Callithrix jacchus: one gene and its partners. The protein of the gene in region 3 binds, or shares a complex with, the protein of the main gene of each other region. Links are inferred from orthologs where the notes say so. Each region holds a gene or a part of one and is shown on either strand. Other genes may lie near its edges.

Region 1 (7,507 bases), on a different chromosome or scaffold from region 3:
CAAAATTGGAGAATCACATTATCTGACTTCAAATTATACTATAGAGCTATAGTAACCAAAACATCATGGTGATGCCATAAAAACAGACCTTTAGACTAATGGAAAAGAATAGAGAATCCAGAAACAAATCCATGTATCTACAGTGAACTCACTTGCAACAAAGGTGCCAAGAACACACAATGAGAAAAGGACAGTCTCTTCAATAAATACTGCTGAGAAAACTGGATATCCACATGCAGAAAAATAAAACTACACCCCCATCTCTACAAAAATCAAAATGGATTAAAGACAAATCTAAGACCTCAAACGATGAAATGACTACAAGAAAGTATTAGGGAAACTTTCCAGGACATTGGACTGGGCAAAGATTTCTTTCAAATACCCCCCAAGCACAGGCAACCAAAGCAAAACTGCACAAATGTGATCACATCAAGTTAAAAAACTTCTGCACCACAAAGGAAACAATGAAATGGAGACACAACCCACAGAATTGGAGTAAATATTTGTAAACTATCCATCTGACAAGGGATTAATAACCAGAATATATAAGGAGCTCAAACAACTCTATAGGAAAATAATAATTCAAATCAAAAATGGACAAAAGATTGGAATAGACATTTCTTAGAAGACGACATACAAGTGGCAAATGGATATATGAAAATGGGCTCAATACCACTGATCATCAGAGAAATGCAAATCGAAACTACAATGAGATATTAGCTAACCTCAGTTAAAATGTCTTTTATCCAAAAGAAAGGCAATAACATGCTGGCAAGGATATGTAGAAAAGGGAACCCTCATACACTGTGGTTGGGAATGGAAATTAGTACAATCACATTGGAGAACAGTTTGAAGGTTCCTCAAAAACTAAAAATAGAGCTACCATATTAACTAGCAATCCTACTGGATACTTCTAGGTATATACCCAGAAAAAATACTATTAAGTATGTACCCAAGAGAAAGGAAATCAGTATGTCAAAGAGATATCTGCACTCTCATGTGTATTGCAACACTATTCACAATAGCCAAGATTTGGAAGCAATCTAAGCATCCATCAATAGACAAATGGGTTGACCCAGCAATCCCATTACTGGGTATATATCCAAAAGACTATAAATCGTTCTACTATAAGGACACATGTACACGAATGTTCATTGCAGCACTGTTTACAATAGCAAAGACCTGGAACCAACCCAAATGCCCATTGATAATAGACTGGATTGGAAAAATGTGGCACATATACACCATGGAATATTATGCAGCAATCAGAAATGATGAGTTTGTGTCATTTGTAGGGACATGGATGAATCTGGAAAACATCATCCTCAGCAAACTGACACAAGAACAGAAAATGAAACACCGCATATTCTCACTCATAGGTGGGTGATGAAAAATGAGAACACATGGACACAGAAAGGGGAGTACTAAACACTGGGGTCTATTGGGGGGGAAAGGGGAGGGTCAGTGGGAGGGGGAGGTGGGGAGGGATAGCCTGGGGAGAAATGCCAAATGTGGGTGAAGGGGAGAAGGAAAGCAAAGCACACTGCCATGTGTGTACCTACGCAACTGTCTTGCATGCTCTGCTCATGTACCCCAAAACCTATAATCCAATAAAAAATTAAAAAAAAAATAGACAAATGGGTAAGGAAAGTGTGGTACACATACACAATGGAGTACTGATTAGCCATAAAAAGGAGAACCTTTCATTTGCTACAACATGGATGAAAAATAGGGGTCATTATGTTAAATAAAATAAACCAAACACAGGCAAACAACCAATTGTACATTCTCACTAATAAGTGGAGCTAAAAATTAGAACAATTGAACTCATGAAGATAGCAGAATGATGGTTACCAAAAGCTGGGAAGGGTAGCCAGGAGTGTGTAGGGGGGTGATTAATGGGTTCAAAATACATGAGATAGAATGAATAAGATCTAGTATTTTATAGCATAACAGGGTGACTACAGACAATTTATCATACATTTTAAAATAATTAAAAAACATATAATTGGATTGTTTGTAACACAAAGAAGTGATAAATTCTTGAGGTGATGGATACCCCCACTTACCCTGATGTGATTATTACAGACCGTATGCTATACCTGTGCATCAAAATATCTCATGTAGCCCATAAATACATACATCTACCACAGACACAGAAAATTTAAAATTTAAAACAAAATTACTTGGGTAAATTTTATATTCTGTGTATTTAACGATTAAAAATTAATATAACCTGAGAATGTCCCTAGCTCGGTGATAAGAACATAGTTGGTTATCAGATGTCAATTCCCTTCTCACCACTCACTGGTGGGATACTTACCTCGGGGTCATGCGAAATAAATCACTCACCTGCAGATGTTAAAAAAATAATAGTCACATCAGTCACATGAAAAGAATTAGCTTCTGGAAGTAAGAAACAGATGACGGCACGTGAGGGAGAGCACCAGCCACTATTCTCTGCATCCAACCCTCCTTAAAAGCAGCTTCCAGACATGGGCAAAGCATCTAGGTGTGGGGTGATAACCAGTGTCAAAGAAAGCAGCCCGGACTCCCCCATCTTGCAGATATTTTACTAAATCAGATAATGAAGACATGGGAGGGGGTGCGCACCCAGGACCACAGGCTACTGGGCTTCCATTACTTCCCAGTCTCATAGAAGCCCCCTGGCTGTCCAGAGCCTCTGAAGCCCCCCGCCAGCCCAACTCTGACTTCTCTCCTCCCACCTCTCTTCCTTCTCAGCGGCATTTCTCCACACACCCTTTCAAGGCTCCGCTCCTCCCACGGCTCCTCCCTCTCTCCTCTCACGGCTCCTCCTCCCTCCCCTTTCCCGTCAGACTTGCCTCTGAGCGGAAACTGAAAGTGAAATAGGGAGCTGGCTACCCGCGTTGAGTCCCCTGTAAAGGTGAGTGAACCTCACTAAATCAAGGAACCCCTGCCCTCCTAGTGGACCTCTCCCCTGCCCCAGGGCTGCAGAGCCCCTTCCAACCAGTCTCCATCCTTGAGCCGGTCCCATTTGCCCCTTCTCCCACCGGGGATCCCTCAATCCAAGCCCCTCTGTGCTTCCGAGGCTGGTCTCCTAACCTGGAAGGAGGCTGGGGTATGGACATGACTGCTGCGGAGTTACCCAGAAGGGGTAGGGTTCCGGGCACTTGGGAGGAGACTGGGGTGTGGGACGTGACTGCGGAGTTACCCAGAAGGGGAAGGGTTCCGGCTGCCCCCTACTTGGGAGGAGGCTGGGGTGTGGACGTGACTATGGAGTTACCCAGAAAGAGAAGGGGCCTGGCTGCCCCATTGCTGGCACCTGAGCTGGGATGAGAGCTGGGTGCAGCTGAGAGAGCCAGCACTACTGCCTAGCCAGGAGCGTGGGGGAGATCTGCAATCCTGGAGACTCCCAGGTCCAAAAGTCCTCCAGAGGTGAGGGGCAGGCTGCTTAGGATGTTCAACCAGAAATGTATAGGCCTTCAAAATTACTCTTTGTCATAGAAGAAGTGATGTCAGGAACTAAACTAAGTTTGGAGCAGCTGAAAGAAGAGCCCAGGGAGTGCTGGCCACAGTTCCTGTTGCTCTGTGTGAATACATTCACATATACATGCTCATGTACATACATATACACCTGACTTTTGCCAATATTGGAATGATTAATGAAGATGTATTCAAAGCATGTGTAGTATCTCTGGCACATGGAAGGTACATGGTTAAAAGTAGCTATTTTATGACTAGTTTCTCAGCAACATGGAGGCCTGCTGGTACCAGAAAGAAGATGAATGGGCACTGAGGGTTTAAGCAGGAATGGACATGAGAGAACTGTCAGCTTTATGAGGTTCTTGCCAATTTTCACTCCCTCCTTTAGGGACTCAGTTTCTCCTTCTGTCCCAGTGGATCAATGGGCCAAACAGTGGAGGAGTTCTTGTTATTCAGAAGAATAAACTTATTAAACAAACTATTTGGTCCATGCAAAAGTAATACTGTTTTTGCCATTAATTATTTTTCCATTAATATTATGCCCTTTTTTTTTTTTTTTTGGAGATGGAGTCTCCCTCTGTTGCCTGTGCTGGAGTGCAGTGGCACCAACTCAGCTCACTGCAACCTCCACCTCCCAGGTTCAAGCAATTCTCCTGCCTCAGCCTCCTGAGTAGCTGGGATTACAGGCACCCACTACCACTCCCAACTATTTTTTGTATTTTTAGTAGAGACAGAGTTTCACCATGTTGGTCAGGCTGGTCTCAAACTCCTGACCTCAGGTGATCCACCCACCTCGACCTCCCAGAGTGCTGGGATTACAGGCGTGAGCCACCATTTTTATTTTTTTATTTTCCGTTTCATCATTTTGTTTTTCTTTTTTTAGTTTTAATTTTTCTGGGCATGTAGTAGGTATATTTATGGGCTACATGGAACATTTTGATACAGGTATACAGAGCCACCATTTTTATTTTTTTATTTTCCTTTGCATCATTTTGTTTTTCTTTCTCTAGTTTTAATTTTTCTGGGCACATAGTAGGTATATTTATAGGCTACATGGAATATTTTGATATAAGTATACAATGTGTAATAACCACATCAGGATAAATGGGGCATCTAGCACCTTAAGCATTGATCATCTGTGATAAACTATGCAATTATACTCTTTCAAATGTACAATTAAATTATTGACTATCGCCACCTGTTATGCTATCAAATACTAGATCTAATTCACTCCATTTTTGTACCCATTAACCATCCTACTTTTCCCCCAACACATCCTCCCTACTATTCTTCCCAGCCTCTGGTAACCATCTTTCTATTATCTAACTCCATGAGTTCAATTGTTTTGATTTTTAGCGCCTACAAATGAGAACATACAATGTTTGTCTTTCTGTGCCTGGCTTATTCCACTTAATGTAGTGACCTCCAGTTCCATTCATGTTGTTGTAAATGACAGGATCTCATATTTTATGGCTGAATAGTACTCCATTTTGTATATGTACCACATTTTATTTATCTATGTATCTGTTGATGGACACTTAGGTTGCCACCAAATCTTGGCTATTGTGAAACATACTGCAATAAACATGAGTGTGCAGATATCACTTTGATACAGTGATTTCCTTTCTTAGGGGTATATACCTAGCAGTGGGATTGCTGGATCATATGGTAACTCTATTTTCAGTTTTTTGAAGAACCTCCAAACTGTTCTCTGTAGTGATCGTACTAATTTACATTTCCACCAACAGCTTATGAGGGTTCCCTTTTCTCCACACCCTCACCAGCATTTGTTATAGCCTGTTGGATAAAAGACATTTTAACTGAGGTGAGATATCTCATTGTAGTTTTGATTTGCATTTTACTGATAATCAGTGATGTTGAGCAACTGTTCATATGCCTGTTTGTCATTTGTATGTCTTTTGAGAAATGTCTATTCAGATCTTTTGTCCATTTTTGAACCAGATTATTACATTTTTTTCCTATAGAGTTGTTTGAGCTCCTTACATATTCTGATTATTAATCCCTTGTCAAATGGATAGTTTGCAAATATTTACTCCCATTCTGTGGGTTGTCTCTTCACTTTGTGGATTATTTTCTTTGCTGTGCAGCAGGTTTTCAATTTGATGTGATCCTATTTGTCCAATTTTGCTTCGGTTGCCTATGCTTGTGGGACATTTAAATGAAATCTTTGCCCAGTCCAATGTCCTGGAGTGTTTCTCCAATGTTTTCTTGTAGTCCTTTCATAATTTGAGGTCTTAGATTTAAGTCTTTAATCCATTTTGATTTTATTTTTGTATATGGTGAGATAGGGGTATAGTTTCATTCTTCTGCATGTGGATATCCAGTTTTCCCAGCAGCATTTATTGAAGAGACTGTCCTATCCTGTCTGTTCTTGGCACCTTTGTTGAAAGTGAGCTCACTGTGGATGTCTGGATTTGTTTCTGGGTTTTTTACTCTGTTTTATTGGTCTATGTGTCTGTTTTTATGCCAGTACCATGCTGTTTGGGTTACTTTGGCTCTATAGTATAATTTGAAGTCAGGTAATGTGATTCCTCCAGTTTTGTTCTGTCTGCTCAGGATAGCTTTGACTATTCTGGGTCTTTTGTGTAAATTTTAGGATTTTTTTTCCTATTTTTGTGAAGAATGCCATTGGTATTTTGATAGGAATTATGTTGACTTTTTGTTTTTCTTACACAGACTTTCTCATGTTCTCTATTCCCTTTCTTCTCTCCCAGGCAGCCCCACAAAGGTCTCCACACTACTGCTTAACAGGAAGGGCACAGCTATGGCTTCAGCAGCACGCTTGACAATGATGTGGGAGGAGGTCACGTGCCCTATCTGCCTGGACCCCTTCGTGGAACCTGTGAGCATCGAATGTGGCCACAGCTTCTGTCAGGAATGCATCTCTGAGGTTGGGAGAAATGGGGGTGGTGTCTGTCCTGTGTGCCGGCAGCGCTTTCTGCTCAAGAATCTCCGCCCCAACCGACAGCTAGCCAACATGGTGGACAACCTTAGAGAAATCAGCCAGGATACCAAAGAGGGCACACAGGGGGAACGGTGTGCAGTGCATGGAGAGAGACTTCACCTGTTCTGTGAGAAAGATGGGAAGGCCCTTTGCTGGGTGTGTGCCCAATCACGGAAACACCGTGACCACCCCATGGTCCCTCTTGAGGAGGCTGCACAGGAGTACCAGGTGAGGCCTTAGTGACACAAACAGGAGGAAAGAAGATGGGCCCTGATGAGTGCTTTGTTTTCAGAGTGGGTAATGGGAAGGGAACACCTCTGTATCAGAGGAGTTAGAGAAAGGAAGAATTTACCTCTCTCCATGTCTAATGTAGGAGGAGAATTATAAGCTAAACCCAACCTTCTCATTCCCCAGGAGTGAGAGATATGCATGAGAAAATGCTCAAAGATTACCCACACCCTATTACTTGGTCTGTCTAGAGACTAATATGCTGTCTTTCTCTGCAGGAGAAGCTCCAGGTGGCATTAGGAGAATTGAGAAGAAAGCAGGAGTTGGCCGAGAAGTTAGAAGTGAACATTGCAATGAGGAGAGCGGACTGGAAGGCAAGAATGACAGACTTATGGGGATCTTAGGCTAGAAGGCTGGGCAGGGTCCAGGGTCCTTGACTCACAGGCTTAACTGTAGCTGTGCCTGTCTAAGGAGTGAGAGAGTTGGTCCGTTTCACTCTCCAGCAACCATCTGCCCTCTAGGTTTCCAGATAGAGGGGAATAAAAATGATGCAGGTTCAAAAGAGAGCTCCCCATTAGGCCTGAGGATCAAGAATCCCGGAAGACGGTGCTGAGAGGATCTAGCTATACCCTAAAGTTTCGAGCTCCTCTGCGTCCAGTCGCAGAGGGGTGATGGCATCAGCACCTGGGTGTCTGAGACAAATATCCTAAGAGAGAAACCCAACTGCTAGCTAAGTGTTTCAGGAAGTGACAAGGGCTATGAGGAATAAACTTAAGAAAACCATCAAGGCCCGAAGTAGGAATACCCGTCAGACCAGGTGGTTACTTGACAACGTCCAGATCTCTGGTC
Region 2 (7,602 bases), on a different chromosome or scaffold from region 3:
TGGTGAGCACCTATAGTCCCAGCTACTTGGGAGGCTGCGGCAAGAGAATCACTTGAACCTGGAAGGCTGAGGTTGCAGTGAGCTGAGATCGCACCACTGCACTCTAGTCTGGGGCAACAGAGTGAGACTCTGTCTCAAAAAAAGAAAAAGAAAGAAGATGAAACAAGCTACACCGAGTAATGGTTCAAGACCACCAAATGTATGGCCAAACTGCCTAGCTCTGTCACTTTTTAGCTGTGTGGCTTTGGAAAATTTATGTGCCTCTGTTTTCTCATCCATAAAAAGGGGACTATTTAATATTAGTTCTTACCTCATAGGAGAATTGTGAAGTTTAAATGAGTTAATAACTGTCAAGTGCTTGGAACAGTTCCTGGTATATAGCAAATATTCAATGAATATTGTGTGTGTGTGTGTGTGTGTGTGTGTGTGTGTGTGTATGTGTGTGTGTGTGTGTTTAGGGAGTAGTATGTCTAAAATTTCTAGCTCAGGTTAGAAGGTGATACCATGGCTGGGAGTGGTGGCTCACGCCTATAATCCCAGCACTTTGGGAGGCCGAGGCAGGCAGATCATGAGGTAAGGAGTTCGAGACCAGCCTGACCAATATGGTGAAACCCCATCTCCACTAAAAACACAAAAATCAGCCAGGCATGGTGGTGTACGCCTTATAATCCCAGCTACTCAGGAGGCTGAGGCAGGAAAATCGCTTGAACCCAGGAGGCGGAGGTTGCGGTGAGCCAAGATTGTGCCATTACACTCCAGCCTGGGCAACAAGAGCAAAACTCCGTCTCTAAATAAATAAATAAATAAATAAAGGAAACATAGATTCAATAACTAGTAAAGTTAATGTAAAGACAGCTGAATAAATTAAAGCAATGATAAGACACTATGGTAATCAGAAATGGTGGTTCATCAGATACACCAGGTTCTCCCTCCTTCCAGAGGTAAGATAACTGCTCTTCCTGGCCCCCTTGTGGTTGTGTAGGATTTTGTGATTCATTCAGGCCAATGAGTTGTAAACATCAGTGTCTTGGGTCTTTTTGCTGGTGTGAGTCCCTCTAGCATTCTTTCCCTCTGGCATGACTACTCATCAGTGTGGGTTCCCCAGTAGCTCTCATAAGCAGAGCCCCACCATGCCTGCCAGAGATGATTATGTAGTGTGAGCAAGAAATACACCTTTTGTTTTGTTTTAAGCTACTCAGATTTTGGAGTTGTTTCCACAACATAACCTAGTCTATCCCTATACCGATACTATTTTAACACATATCAAGTTCTTTAAAATTAAGTAATTACGCCAGGCTCGGTGACTCACGCCTATAATCCCAGCACTTTGGGAGGCCGAGGCGGGTGAATCACAAGGTCAAGAGATCAAGACCATCCTGGTCAACATGGTGAAACCCGTCTCTACTAAAAATACAAAAATTAGCTGGGCATGGTGGTGCGCGCCTGTAGTCCCAGCTACTCAGGAGGCTGAGGCAGGAGAATTTCCTAAACCCAGGAGGCGGAGGTTGTGGTGAGCCAAGATTGCGCCATTGCACTCCAGTCTGGGTAACAAGAGCGAAACTCCGTCTCAAAAAAAAAAAAATTAAGTAATTAATACTTAGTACTAATGGCGATGTGGGGAAACACTTTTAGATTTGCTAGTAGGAGTAATGATTCTTACAACCTTTTGGAAAGATAATTTGACAGCAGAGTCTATTAAAATGGAAAGGGGCCAGGCATGGTGGCTCACATCAGTAATCTTAGCACTTTGGGTGGCCAAGGGGGGCAGGGATCACCTAAGTTTGGGAGTTTGAGACCAGCCTGACCAACATGGAGAAAACCTACTCCATTAAAAATACAAAATTAGCCAGGCGTGGTGGCGCATGCCTGTAATCCCTGGGGCTACCGGGGAGGCTGAGGCAGAAGAATCGCTTGAACAGGGAGGTGGAGGTTGTGGTGAGCCCAGCTCTCACCATTGCACTCTAGCCTGGGCAACAAGAGTGAAACTCCGTCTCAAAAAAAAAAAGCTGGTAGTGGGGAAGGGCCAGGTACAGTTGTTCACGCCTGTAATCCCAGTACTTTGGGAGGCCAAGGGGAGAGGGAGTGAGTCACTTCAGATCTTGGAGTTCCAGACCAACCTGGCCAACATGGTGTAAACCCCGTCCCTACTAAAAATACAAAAAACTAGCCAGACGTGGTGGCGGGCGCCTGTAATCTCAGCTACTGCGGAGGCTGAAGCAGAATTGCTTGAACCCAGAAGGCGGAGGATGCAGTGAGCTGAGTTTGTGCCATTGCACTCCAGATTAGGTGACAAGAGTGAAACTCCATCTCAAAAAAAAAAAAAGAAAAGAAAAGAAAAAAGTGATACTATTTTACTTAAATTCCATTTTGGAAAATCCTTCCTTTTTGTTTTGTTTTTGAGACGGAGTCTCGCTCGATCACCCAGGCTGGAGTGAAGTGGCAGGTTCTCCTCTTACTGCAGCCTCTGCTCCCGAGGCTCAGGCGATCCTTCCACCTCAGCTTTGGAATTGCTGGGAAGACAGGTGCGAACTACCACACCTGGCTGTTTTTTTCCCTTGTATTTTGAGTGGAGATGGGGTTTCACCGTGTTGCCCAGCCTGGTCTAGAACTCCTGAGCTCAAGCGATCCTCCCGCCTCAGCCTCCCAAAGTGCTGGGATTACAGGCATAAGCCACGGCGCCCGGCCTGGGGAATCTTTTCTCCAGAAATAAAAGTCCTACCTCAAAAGGATTTTTATTTTTATTGTTGCGCTATTTGTAGGGGCTGAGAACGGAAAACAATCTAAACGAATATGGTTAACCATACTATTGAAATGTTAAAAGTACAAGTTTTACCTTTTTTATTGGCGTCAGGTAATGTCTACATACTAAACGAAGACAAACAAACAAAAAAATCTACACACAGAAACTAGAAAATTAAGCTGTGTTACCTGAAAGGAGTGGAGTGGTAAGTGATGGGGCCAGAGAGAACATTATCACGTTTTTCTTACTACATCTTGATAGCTTTTACAATTTGTATCACTTACATAACAAAATAAACTCAAGGAAAACTGAGAGAAAAAAGCTCTAAACCAATGAGTGTTACCCCAAGTCTTTACGCAATGAACGCAGTAATGTGGCCACCAGTCAAGGGTGGTAGGAGAGGCGGAGCCTCGGCAACATACTTTTGGCCACGCCCACTTTGCTCTGCCAGTAGCTTCTCACGTGTGTTTAACGCATGCGTAGTTACCTTAGTGTGCATTGCCTCAGAGGGGCGCCCCGCGGTTTTGGGTTTGGCCCCGTCAGGCTACCGTCGCGGTGACCGGAACGGCATTAGAGGTTTGCTTCCGGGCGTCTCTTTTGCTTCCCCTTCCCTCCATCACGCTTTCTCCCCTCCCCCTCCTCTCGTATCCCTTCGCTTTCGCTCTTTTCCGTCGAGGCAGACCCCCGAGTCGTGAGTCTGGGGTCTGGTTGGTGAAAAAGAGCCCTTACAACTGGAAGCAGGGAGGTGTGGGGAATACTGTTAATTGATTTATTTGGTGACCAAAGGCTTATCTGGGATGTTTTGTCTGTGGGAGGAGGTCGGGCGAGGGTGGGAAGGAAGTCGTCTCTTGAGGCGAGCGGGGGCGGGGCTGAACTGGGTTTGCGGATGGATGAGGCGCACCCCTAGCATTCTAGGGGTAGCACTGGGGTGGGCCGGTGTGTGGGCAAAGGAAAATGGAGGCGCTGAAAATCAGATTTGCCTTAACAGTTTGATTAAACAAGCATTTCACACAAATGTGTGAAGCATTTGGATTGTGGATATTAGGTAGCCACATTTTATTCCCAGGTTGCTTTACTTCTCTGGAGAAACCTTTTTGCTGCAAGCTTTTGTGTGCTTGAATACCATAGACTTTTTAAAAAGTTAATTTCCACATGAAAGCAAAGTAATGTAAGGGGAACAACTAATGAAAGAGAAAATAGGCCAGGCGTGGTGGCTCACGCCCGTAATTCCAGCACTTTGGGAGGCCAAAGTGGGCGGATGACCTAGATTGGGAGTTCGAGACCAGCCTGACCAAATTGGAGAAACCCCGTCTCTACTAAAAATACAAAAAATTAGCTGGGCGTAGTGGCACATGCCTGTAATTCCAGCTACTCGGGAGGCAGAGGCAGGAGAATAGCTTGAATTCGGGAAGTGGAGGTTGCGATGAGCCAACATTGCCCCATCGCACTCCAGCCTGGGTAACAAGAGCAAAACTCCGTCTCAAAAAAAGAAAATATTGAATTAGTGAGTTACAGATCAACTCCGTCCCCAGATGGGGGGTTTTGTTCAAATTAGGCATAACATGGCAAAGATTTATCACATTAGTTAAGGAACACATATAGACCACAAAAATACCACCTTCTATATTGGTTCTCTTCAGTTTTCTAAAAAATTATTTTTGAAGTTTTGTTTTGAGACAGGGTCACCCAGGCTGGAATGCATGGCACAAACAGCTCACTATAGCAGCCTCTCCTGGGCTCACGTGGTCCTCCCACCTCAGTAGCTGGGCCTAATGGCATATGCCACCACACCTGGCTAATTTTTGTATTTTTTTTGTAAAGATGGGTCTCGCCATGTTGCCCAGGCAGGTCTTGAATTCCTGCCCTCAGGTGACCCTCTGCTGAGATTACAGGCACAAGTCACTGTGCTGGCCCAAAACATTATTTTCAGTAGCTCCCTACTGCATAATGAATGTTTTCCATGCCCTCTCAAACTTTAAATGTTATTCAGGCCTGCTACTGTATAGCAGAAGAAATCTCAGCATCAGATTCTGGGGAATGAAGAGGGAGAACATGGACCATTTGAATAAATAACAGGCAGCAGGGTAGAAATGCTTTATTAGGGAATCAGTTCTCTATTGATTGTGGTTATAAGGACTCCAGTTTAATTTGTTTTCTGTTCCATGCAGAGGACAAAAGCATGTCTTCCCTTCCTGGGCGCATTGGTTTGGATGCAGCAACAGCTACAGTGGAGTCTGAAGAGATCAAAGAGCTGCAACAGGCAGTGGTTGAGGAACTGGGTATCTCTATGGAAGAACTTCGGCATTTCATCGATGAGGAACTGGAGAAGATGGATTGTGTACAGCAGCGCAAGAAACAGCTAGCAGAGTTAGAGACATGGGTGATACAGAAAGAATCTGAGGTGGCTCATGTTGACCAGCTCTTTGATGATGCATCTAGGTGAGAACTACATAGACAACAGAGGGAAATCTCTCCATTGGGAGATATCTTTAGGGCATAATTGTTCATGACATTATACTAAGCATTTATTTTAATTTTTTAATTTAATTTTTTTTTTTTTTGAGACAGAGTCTCACTCTGTCACCCAGGCTAGAGTGCAGTGGAGTGATCCCAGCTCACTGCAACCTCCATCTTTCAGGTTCAAATGATTCTCCTGCCTCAGCCTCCAGGCACCTACCACAATGCCTGGCTAATTTTTTGTATTTTTAGTAAAGACAGGATTTTACCATGTTGACCAGGCTGTGTACCAAGAATTTTATACTTTATGAAGTACAGATGTTTAGAACTTTACTCTTCCTCAAAGTTTATGGTCAAAAATCTGACCTCACAATCAGCCATTTATAGAACTTTTATCTGTCAGCAGCTGATACATGATCAGCAGTAAGGGAGTCCAAGTCTTAAGTCCCTTCCCCTTCTTCCTCCTGTGTTCTATCTTAGAAACAATTGCTTGTTCAGGGAGTGAGGTTTATAAAGAATTTCTGTCTTATGTAACTTTGAAGCATTATTAAGTTCCTATACTCCTAAAAGTTATTTTTGGTGATCTAGTTGTCATTTAGAATACCTTTTTTGTTTTTGAGACGGAATCTCGCTCTGTCTCGCCCAGGCTGGAGTGCAGTGGCATGTTCTTGGCTCACTGCAGCCTCTGCCTCCCAGTTTCAAGCAGTTCTCCTGTCTCAGCCTACTGAGTAGCTGGGACTACACGTGTGTCCCACCACACCCAGCTAATTTTTGTATTTTTTGTAGAGATAGGGTTTCACCATGTTGGCCAGACTGGTCTTGAACTCCTGACCTCAGGTGATCCGCCCACCTCGGCCTCCCAAAGTCCTGGGCTTACAGGCTCGAGCCACTGCACTTGACCTATATTTTTTATTTTATTTGTTTTTTTGAGTTGGAGTCTCACTCTGTCACCAGGCTGGAGTGTGGTGGTGCAGTCTCCTCTGCCTTCCAGGTTCAAGCGATTCCCCTGCCTCAGCCTCCCAAAGAGCTGGGACTGCAGGTATACACCACCTGGCTAATTTTTTTTTTTTTGTATTTTAGTAGACACTGTTTCACTGAGTTGGCCAGGATGGTCTCAATCTCCTGACCTCATGATCCGCCCCCCTCAGCCTCCCAAAGTACTGGGATTACAGGCATGAGCCACTGCACCTGCCCCATTTTCTTTTTTCTTTTCTTTTTTTTTTTTTTAAAGACAGAGTCTTGCTCTGTTGCCCAGGCTGGAGTGCAGTAGTGCCATCTTGGCTCACTGGAATCTCCGCCACCTGGGTTCAAGCAAGCACATCCATCTTATTTTTGTATTTTTAGTAGAGATGGGATTTCACCATGTTGGCCAGGCTAGTCTCAAATTCCTGACATCAAGTGATTGACCTGCCTCTGCCTCCCAAATTGCTGGGATTACAGGTGTGAGCCACCACTCCCAGCCAGGATACATTTTCAGGTAACAAGATAAATAATGAGGTAAGGTGGAAAGTACTGTACTTTGAGCTTATTTTGGGTTTTTGAGGAACTAGTCTGGAAACGAAACCACTATTTAAAACATTTTTCAGCCAGGTGCGGTGACTTATACCTGTAATTCCAGCACTTTGGGAGGCCGAGGTGAGTGGCTCACCTGAGGTCAGGAGTTTGAGACCAGCCTGGCCAACATGGTGAAACCTGCCTCTACTAAAAATATGAAAATCAGCTGGGTGTGGTGGCAGGCACCTGTAATCCCAGCTACTCACGAGGCTGAGGCAGGAGAATCACTTGAACACAAGAGGTGCAGGTTGCCGTGAGCCAGGATCTCACCATTGCACTCCAGTCTGAGCGATAAGAGTGAAACTCCATCTCAAAAAAGAAAACATTTTTCTATAGGAAAAGCATTCTAAATTCTAAACAGAGACACTTTGGAATGTGGCCATTTAAATTGAGGACAGTCTGTACTTAAAGATATTTGAATTATGGTGGATTCTATACCTGTACTCCCTCTACTGGCTTTGACCTTTTCTACATGTGTTCCAATATTAGGGCAGTGACTAATTGTGAGTCTTTGGTGAAGGACTTCTACTCCAAGCTGGGACTACAATACCGGGACAGTAGCTCTGAGGATGAATCTTCCCGGCCTACAGAAATAATTGAGATTCCTGATGAAGACGATGATGTCCTCAGTATTGATTCAGGTAAGGGATGAACTTTTGATAGGAAAGTCTCAGAATTGAAGTTAAAACACTGGAATATGAGCAAATAGAAGATAGTAGAAGAGAGGAGAAACCTCATATTTCAAATTGCCCAAGTTGGCTATTAGAGGAAAAAAATGCAACATTGTTAGTATCATAGATGTTCCCTATGTGCTACACCCTGATTGCATTACTTTGCTTTCCTCATTCTGT
Region 3 (7,881 bases):
ACTTACCGGCTTTCAATTGCCTTCATTTCTTTATCTGCAACATGAAAAGTGTGAACTAAAAGATATCTTAAGCTCCTTCTAGGCATAAAATCCTATGATTCCTTGACTGTATGTTTCTCTTGGAAGGTTTCTTATATTTTCATCAATTCTAAATCATAAAAACCCCATATCCTCTTTTCTGCCCTGGTGACAAAAAAACAAAAAGTAAAAGCATCAAAAAGTCCCCAAACCCATGCATGTCCTAAGAAAATTCCTAAGAAATAAGACCAGAGTGGAATTATTAATAACTTACTTTGCGTAACAGTTGATAAATCACCTTAATTACATATACTCATTTGACCTCGCCAGTCAGTAGAGCACAGGTATTCCTGCTCTTTATAGATGAGGAAACTGACGCTCGGGGAGGTTAATTTAGCTCTTTAGGCCTTATAGTTAATAAAAAGGAGAGCTAGAAAGTTGTATATGAATTCTTTTTCCTAAGATGCTATATACAGGCTTTAAAAATAATTTGGCATAAAGATTAGTCTTGAGAGTACTGGATTCTTTTCTAAACATTTTGAAGTTTTTATTCCCTCTAATTAGGTCATGCCAAAACCATAACACATTACCCCAAGCTAGTGGATATTAGAGATTAGAGGGAAAGGTACACAAAAGAGGGCAAGAAGCCTTCTAGACAGGTGGTTGGGAAATTACTTTTCCTTATAGCAGGACCTGTTAGATTTCATGATTTCTTTCGTCAGTAACACAACACAAAATATCAAGTTCTATTTTAAAAGAATTATTATTATAGCTAGTGTTCAATTTATGCAAACCAATATTAAAGAAAAAATTCGTCTACTGTCCTGATCACTCCAGCAAATCAAACCTTTTATTTTCCTGTGATCTCTGCTAGTTCTCATCTTTATACACATGATTTTTTTTTTACTGATTGTATTTATAATGTAGACATATATTTTTAAGTATCAGAAATCCATAATTTTCATAAGAGGACACTTCAATTTTAATAACTATTTTTAGACTATTTTCCTCATTCTGATTTTATTTCATCTGCTTATTGTTTTCTCCTGAATTCACATCTTTTCATCAGAACAAAAAGAATACAACCTGGTTTTCAGAAGTTTAAAAAAAATTTTCAAATATACGTCAGAGAATGTCATCATTTTTATATACTCTACCAGGGACTCCTGAAACCAAACACTTAAGAAAGGTTATGTCTGGAGAATTTTTCAAAATCTATATGCATTTCAATGGTGGAGAAATAGTTGTCTGGAATCAGGAGGCTGAAATTATGACCCAGAAGATTTCTTCCAACTTTTGAACTTCTATGACAACTCCTGGTAGAGACAGGTTTCCTGGTAGGGATTGAGCAAGAAGCATGCACAATTACATTATGAGTCTTGATAAAGCTGGAGTTTCAGGTTGATGGTTAGGAGTTCGGCTGGGTCGTGGGATGCTTGTTTTCCTGGTTACTGGATATGCCATGGGCTTTATATCTTGGGTTGTCCTGTGGTAACTGAAGCCACTGTTGCGGTGGAAAATGATGGCAGTTTGAATGAGATAATTTAGAGTGACCTGTGGAAATCTGAGGCTGTGTCCTTAACGTACAAGACCTTGTATATGTGGCACTGTTGTATGGCACATATCTCTTTAGTTCCCTTCAACTGAAATGACAAATAGGTGAGAAACTAAATCGTAATTTGATGGCCTAATATTAAAAAAAATTAATTGGACAAAAATGCTACATAAGGAACAATTCAGAAGAATTGCTGATTATTTCAAAACTATTATCTGAATAGTATTTATATGTAGCTAAAGAAAGCACTGCGATCCCAGAACTTTCCATCCAATTTCCAAAAACCAAACCTTATATATAATGTAAAATGACACCCAAAATTCTAAATCCAGTCTAATTCAGTAGTATATAGCTTATTCCCAGTGATTTCTCACATTTGCAAGCCCGTTGCACGTTGGTTTCATGTGTCACCAAAACCTTTGTATTACTCTTATAAAACCACATCACTTTGTATAAAAAGTGACTGGAAGAATTTAATATTGTAAAACTGCACGTGCCTCGCGTGACCTGAGCAGAAAACTCCTGGTTTGGGATTTTCTCACAGGCGTGCCTAAACTGACCTCTACTCCTAGCAGGTAAATTGCTAGAAGAAGCAAGTGTCAGCCCAAAGAAAACCCCTGTTGTGTGCTTTTTTTTTTCTCTTTAAACTGATCGCTTTTTAGGTGGAGTTCCCGCTGCATTCTCTAGACCAAAGTCCTTGCTTGCCACCAGATTACCATCTTTTTCACCAATTTGCCACCTCCCTACCCTTCTCCTTTCCAAAAGCCCTCACTGGAAAGAACTTTCTCTCTTGACCCCCCTATTCCATCTAGTTCCAAACGCTCCCAGAGCCTCCCACCTCCGTCGGCTTCCCCTCTCCCGCCTAGAATCCAGGTTCCCAAACCACTTAAGAGGAAATTCACACCCCTCGCCCCCTTCCCGGGCGTCCGGAGGAGACGCAGGGGTGGGGGTGCGGGGGGAGCAGGGTTTTCTGGGGTCTCCTGAGTCTTTCTCGCGCACCCTCAGGAGGTGTTGCAGGGGGAGAGGAGCGCGGGTGGGTGGGACCGGGCCGGGTGGGGGAGGGGTGAGGGCGAGGAGGAGGAGGAGGCGGCGGCGGCGGAGGAGTGGTGTGTGTGCGAGCGTGTGTGGCTGGGGGAAGCCATTGCCTGTTTAATAGTTGCTGTTGCTGCACTTCCGCTTCTCTCCCAGCGAGAGAGAGACACGAGTGGCCAGGCCCAGCCGCAGCCGCAGCAGCAGCCGCCGCGGCGGCACGGAGGAGCCAGACACAAAGAGAGGTACGGGGATCCCCCCAGCGGCCCGCCGCCCCCCGGCCGCGCCGCCGGCCTCGGGGACACCCCTCGCCGCCGTCCCCGACCCGCACCGCCCCGGCCGCCGGGGCGCCGGACACGGGGCCGGGGGAGGGGTGGTGGCGGAGAGGGGCTGGGGAGCCCCAGGGGTCCCGGGCCCGCCCGCGGGGGATGGGCAGGGACCCCGGGCCGCGTGGGTTGCGGGGCCGCCCGCGTCGGGGCTGGGGGTCATTGTGGCTCGAACTGTCAGCGCTGCCCCAGGAGCCCCCCCACTGGCCGCCGAGGGGGCCGGGAGCGGGGGTGGGGGGGAGTTGGGGGAGCCCTGTTTTCCCCAGGGGCGCGGGCTCCTGGGGATTTACCCCTCCGGGGCGGAAGGGCTCATTGTTATTTCTTCGCTGCGGAGGCCGAGCCCCCCCCACCCCACGCCGCAGCCCCTATCCCCCTCCACGAGTGGCGAACGGGCGTGTGCTCCGGACCCCCGCCCGGCTGCGCAGCCCTGAGCCGGGCGGCCCAGAGGCAGGCCGCCCGGGAGGGGCGTCGGGGCGCGGCGCGGGGGGGGGGGGGCTCGGGCCTCGTCGCCCCTGCCCCCCGCCGGCCTCTCCCTTCCCCCACCCGGGCACCCGTTCCCCGCCTCCGTCCCCCTGTTTCGGCTTCCTCTCTTACTCCTTCCCGCCCCTCCTCTCTTCCCGACCTCGCCAAACTCCGTTCGTGGCCCCACAGTCTCACCCGGGCCACCGGTCCCCCACGACCCCCGGAAAGCGTACAAAAACAGCCCCGAGGCCGGCCGGCCGCCGGGACCTTCCCTCCCTGCCCCGCTGCGGCGCCCCGCGCCCCCACCCTGCCCTTCTTCGCCTCCTGGTTACTCCCTCCCTGCCCTGCGGAGAGCCCCGGGGGGTGAGGGAGGGGCTGCTCTCCGAGCTCCAGACCGTTTTCCCACCGCGTTCCCTACTTGGGGCCAAAAATAAACAAACAAGCCGCGTCCGATTTGCAAAAGCCTTAATGGGCCTGCAGACTTTGAAAAGCGAGTGGAGGGCGGTGGGCGGCCGCGTGCGCCCCTGGTCAATGCCCTCCTGACAGCACCCGAGTTCCTTATTTACACTGGCTGCATGGTTTGTGTGTTTCTGTTTTGTTTCCCTCCCCCTGCAGGGGCTGTTTGCGGGGTGGGGTGGGGGGTTCGATATGTCGGATGACGATTCGAGGGCCAGCACCAGCTCCTCCTCATCTTCATCTTCCAACCAGCAAACCGAGAAAGAAACAAACACCCCCAAGAAGAAGGAGAGTAAAGTCAGCATGAGCAAAAACTCCAAACTCCTCTCCACCAGCGCCAAGAGGTACCGTACTCTTTTTTCCACAGGCTTCCTATTTTCCGAACTGCCTCTTGCTGCATTTGGTCTGCCTCCCAACGAGGATAGCTTAAACGCTCCTCACGGTTTGTGTGTTCTTAAAAATGAAAGAAGGGCCTTGGAAACCCTAATTATTTTCTCTATTGCTGCTTCTGTTTTTTAAAATCATTGCCCACATGCAGCTGTTGCGGCTTGGCTCTCGCTTTTCTCGCCGAAGTTTGTAACAATCCTCATCTACTTTTATTAGCGAGCCCCAAATCTGATTTCAGATTCCTTGTCCCACTTAATGGTTAATCTGTGACCTTCCCCAAGGCCATCATCCTGTTTCTTAATTACTAATAACCTGCTCAGACAACTGCATCGAAATGGATTCTATGACCATTTTACCTTCTTTTCACCTGTTGCATGGATGATCTTTTTGGAATAGAGCTTTCTCCACAAATTGTAAAAGGAATAAGAAACTCATATGAGCAGGTACAAAATTTCGTAGGTGAAGACAGATATTCTCTGATGGAATTTAAAGAGATTTTTCTGAGAGTTGAGACGAATGAATCAGTAAGTGATGTAAAATGGTTATTGTAGGTTATTTTTGTGATTCTCTTTGAGAACTTCAGTTTACCAAATTTCAGGGAGACTTTTTTTTCATGCTATTTGCTGTCCTCATGCTGTAAAAATGCTACTTTGCCTTATTTTTTTCCAATTTAAGCTGTGTCTCTTTTTCTTTATTCTTTTCCTCTTACAGCTCTTGGAGGTAGCTACTTTTTACACCTGCCATTCTTCAGTAATATCCTCTGATCCCCATGACACTTAAAATAATCTTTAGTAGATTCCTAGGAACTCCGAGACACCTTTTTAGAAATCCTTCTGCTCTCAGAGTTAGACAGTTAAAAAGGTGGCAAAACGGGAACATAGTAGGGAGTCCGAATGGTGGGTTAGGTAGAGAAACCCTTAAAAATTTTTAATGTAAAGTGGAACATGAGACTTTAGATCTGTCCACTGAGTAGTGAGCCAGGAAGTCAGGGTTTGAGGGTTTGTTCTGTCATTCTGCCTGACTTGTAATTTGAAAATTTGGCAGTGTTTTGGTGACCTAACCATGGGCTGATGGAGTGACTTTTAAAAAATAGTGTGGAGGTCTTAGGTGCCTCTGCAAGATTGTTCTCATTTTTATAGGTTTGGTTTGATCGTAAATCTTCCCAGGAGGCCTAACTGACCCTCACTGATTAGCCCTGTTTGGTTCTCCTGGAACCTGGCATCCACCCTGCCCACTTGGGATGGGCCTTTTCGCAGCACTGCCCTCCACCTCAAGCCTCTAGGCTCCCTGATCCTCATTTAGCTTTTGGCCTCATGTGCTCACGCCAGGATACTTGCTTTGGGCAATTTGCATCTTTATATTTTGCTAGATATCCCTGGTGTACATGAATATATATTTGGGGGTAAAGACACAGGTATCAAATAGAAAATATTCTGCTTTTGTTATGAGTGAATTGTTTTTTTCACTAGACATACTTTGTCCATTTATTTTAAACAAGTTAAAAATTTGTTTGAAAGTGCTGGGAAAGAGATGGTAGATTTTAAAAAATGAAAGGTGGGAGGCTACAAATAGTAATTTTACATGTAAATGAACATCAAGGCTTTCGTTTTGTTTTGTTTTTGCAGCGAATTTAGCTCCCTGATACCTTGCTGAAGAGTAGTAGCCATCAGTGTTAAAGCAGACCTAAGGTTGATAGCAAAAGGTAAAAAAAACCTGAGAGGGACAGTGTATCCAGGAAAGAGAAAGGGGAAAATTGATGTTAGTGGGATCCTATAGAACCTGTTCCGTGAAATATATTGATTTGGAAGGTAGGTGTTGCCCATAAAATTGGAAGGGGCACATTTACCAGGAGAAGGAGTGAAAAAGAAGCCTGAATTGGCAGACTCACAGCCTAACTGCATGCTGGAAAGTGGTTTCTAAACCGTGGGTAGGGGAAAGCCCCCATTGAAAGTGGCCTGAACAAGAATGACTGACTCTCTGGATGTAGGTATGAGTTCCTCCTGCAGATCTCTTGCCAGGTTTTGGAAATGCACATGCTGACTGTCAAGATGAAGTTGATAAAGCTTTTTGGTATGAACACTTCTTAGGTATTAACTGCCTCTTTAGTGGATATTTTATAGTGGGAGTTGGGTGGGCAAGGAGGTCTGAAGTCAGTATGTATTTTTATATGCATTGTGCTCCGGTGAGGAAGTTTTTGCCTGTGTGTGTAGGTCTTAAAATAGTTATTCGAAAAGACGCAGGTAAAGAATCCGGAAACCAATGTTCCAAACTTTTAGTGTAATGTAGTCATGAGTCAAACAGCAGGAGTATGAATGTCTCAGAAATGAAACGATTTTTGGTAGCAGTAAATAAATACGTGTCAATTGAGACTGTGAACAAACCCCTTTCTAAAGTTGACAGATTTGTAGGGACAGGAAATGTCCTCCAGTAGGAAGGTTTGTAGAACCTCCCCCAGCCGTCGCCCTGAAAACCTATTCCTCACCGCATATAGTTAGCCTGTCCTACGCAGAAAACCTTTGGAAAGGGAAACGCATCCTTTATTAGATTGCTGTGTGTGTGTGTTTAAAATTTTTTAACTACGGTGCTGCCTTGGTGAGATTTTTAAGTTGTAACAGCCCCATTGGGCTTTATATCATGGGAGGAGGAAAGGTTATAAAATTAGGCACCGTTTAGAAGGTGGAAGAAACTTAGAGGCCCCAAACTTTGTCGTATTAATTGATGCTCTAAGTGCCTAGGTGAGCGAAAGACAAAGGCCAGGGCTTGGTGTGAACTGCCTGGTGGCTTCGGCCTAGGAGTGGGGGATGGGGCCCTTTGTGAAGTCCAGGGTTGGTGCGGAGGGAGAACACTGCAGGTCCCGGGTCTGTGCCCAGTGTGTGCTGAAGAGCGGACCACGAAGGAAGGGGCAGACCCTGGGAAGTTAAAGGTCGCCCTGGAAAAAGCAGGTCCGGGGAGGTGGGCCTAGAGTCCCGGCGAGCGTGCGAGGCGGAGGCAGGGTCCGGTGCACCTGTGCGGTCGCCGGCCGGCCACTGGGGTCCGCAGTGCCCGAGGGGCGGGCGGGGGCGTTCGCGCTCCGCGTTCGCGCGTGGCTTTGGGCCGAAGTTCTGGGCGCCGGGAGTGGCGAGCTGGGGCGGCGCGGAGCAGCCCCCGTGCGGGCACCCTGTTCTCCCCCCCCCCCCCCCCCGCAAGTTCACCGGCGCGACGGGAGCCGTCAGGGGCGCGCACGGGGTGGGGGCGGGGTGGCCCGGCGGCGGCGGCCCACCGCGAGGAAGCGACCCGCGGCCTGGACCGCACGGGCACCCCGCGACGGCTGGCAGGTCACTCGGGCCCGAGGGGCCTCGTGGGGAGCGGCCATGTTGGCTTCGTCACCGAGGACTCCGGGCGGGTCGGGTGTCGGGGGAGGCCTCGGACTTTCGGCCTGTGGGGGGCGCCCTGCCGGGGTGGGCATGGGGGCATCTGGGGGTGAAAGGGCCCCGAGGGGCAGGGGAGGCCGGAGACTGGCGTCCTTCCCACCAGCTGATGGCTGTGATCTCTCCGTCCTGAGAGGACCTGGAGGGGAGGGACCGAGGAAACCGGTCCGCAAGTGAGAAACTTTAAAATTAGGTCCTAAATGGAAAACACCGAGGAATACAACTGCCCTGGTGTGCGAGG

The links.
Region 1: the proteins of UBE2E1 (region 3) and TRIM21 are in contact, whole or in part, in a crystal structure (PDB 6FGA), measured with the Homo sapiens proteins. The link is inferred for Callithrix jacchus from reciprocal best matches to the Homo sapiens genes UBE2E1 and TRIM21. Residues at the interface, in NP_003332.1 of Homo sapiens: Lys43, Lys50, Arg51, Lys54, Pro107, Phe108, Asn138, Trp139, Ser140, Pro141, Ala142, Thr144; in NP_003132.2 of Homo sapiens: Pro17, Ile18, Cys19, Leu20, Asp21, Glu38, Cys39, Gln42, Val43, Pro52, Arg55.
Region 2: the proteins of UBE2E1 (region 3) and SETDB1 are in contact, whole or in part, in a crystal structure (PDB 8IYA), measured with the Homo sapiens proteins. The link is inferred for Callithrix jacchus from reciprocal best matches to the Homo sapiens genes UBE2E1 and SETDB1. Residues at the interface, in NP_003332.1 of Homo sapiens: Asn125, Ser126, Gln127, Val129, Cys131, Leu132, Lys136, Asp163, Pro164, Leu165, Val166, Gly167, Ser168; in NP_001138887.1 of Homo sapiens: Glu868, Gly869, Tyr870, Glu871, Ser872.

The regions. Positions count from the first base shown.
Region 1 is NC_133511.1:69,714,804-69,722,310, reverse strand, and holds the start of TRIM21 (E3 ubiquitin-protein ligase TRIM21), read left to right. Parts: upstream 1-2,835; 5' UTR 2,836-2,905; intron 2,906-5,213; 5' UTR 5,214-5,290; intron 5,291-6,200; 5' UTR 6,201-6,250; coding exon 6,251-6,658; intron 6,659-6,936; coding exon 6,937-7,032; intron 7,033-7,507. UniProt on the Homo sapiens protein: E3 ubiquitin-protein ligase whose activity is dependent on E2 enzymes, UBE2D1, UBE2D2, UBE2E1 and UBE2E2.
Region 2 is NC_133519.1:10,820,357-10,827,958, forward strand, and holds the start of SETDB1 (histone-lysine N-methyltransferase SETDB1), read left to right. Parts: upstream 1-3,526; 5' UTR 3,527-3,754; coding exon 3,755-3,785; intron 3,786-4,908; coding exon 4,909-5,179; intron 5,180-7,240; coding exon 7,241-7,392; intron 7,393-7,602. UniProt on the Homo sapiens protein: Histone methyltransferase that specifically trimethylates 'Lys-9' of histone H3. H3 'Lys-9' trimethylation represents a specific tag for epigenetic transcriptional repression by recruiting HP1 (CBX1, CBX3 and/or CBX5) proteins to methylated histones.
Region 3 is NC_133518.1:62,151,266-62,159,146, forward strand, and holds the start of UBE2E1 (ubiquitin-conjugating enzyme E2 E1), read left to right. Parts: upstream 1-2,740; 5' UTR 2,741-2,847; intron 2,848-4,005; 5' UTR 4,006-4,038; coding exon 4,039-4,190; intron 4,191-7,881. UniProt on the Homo sapiens protein: Accepts ubiquitin from the E1 complex and catalyzes its covalent attachment to other proteins. Catalyzes the covalent attachment of ISG15 to other proteins. Mediates the selective degradation of short-lived and abnormal proteins.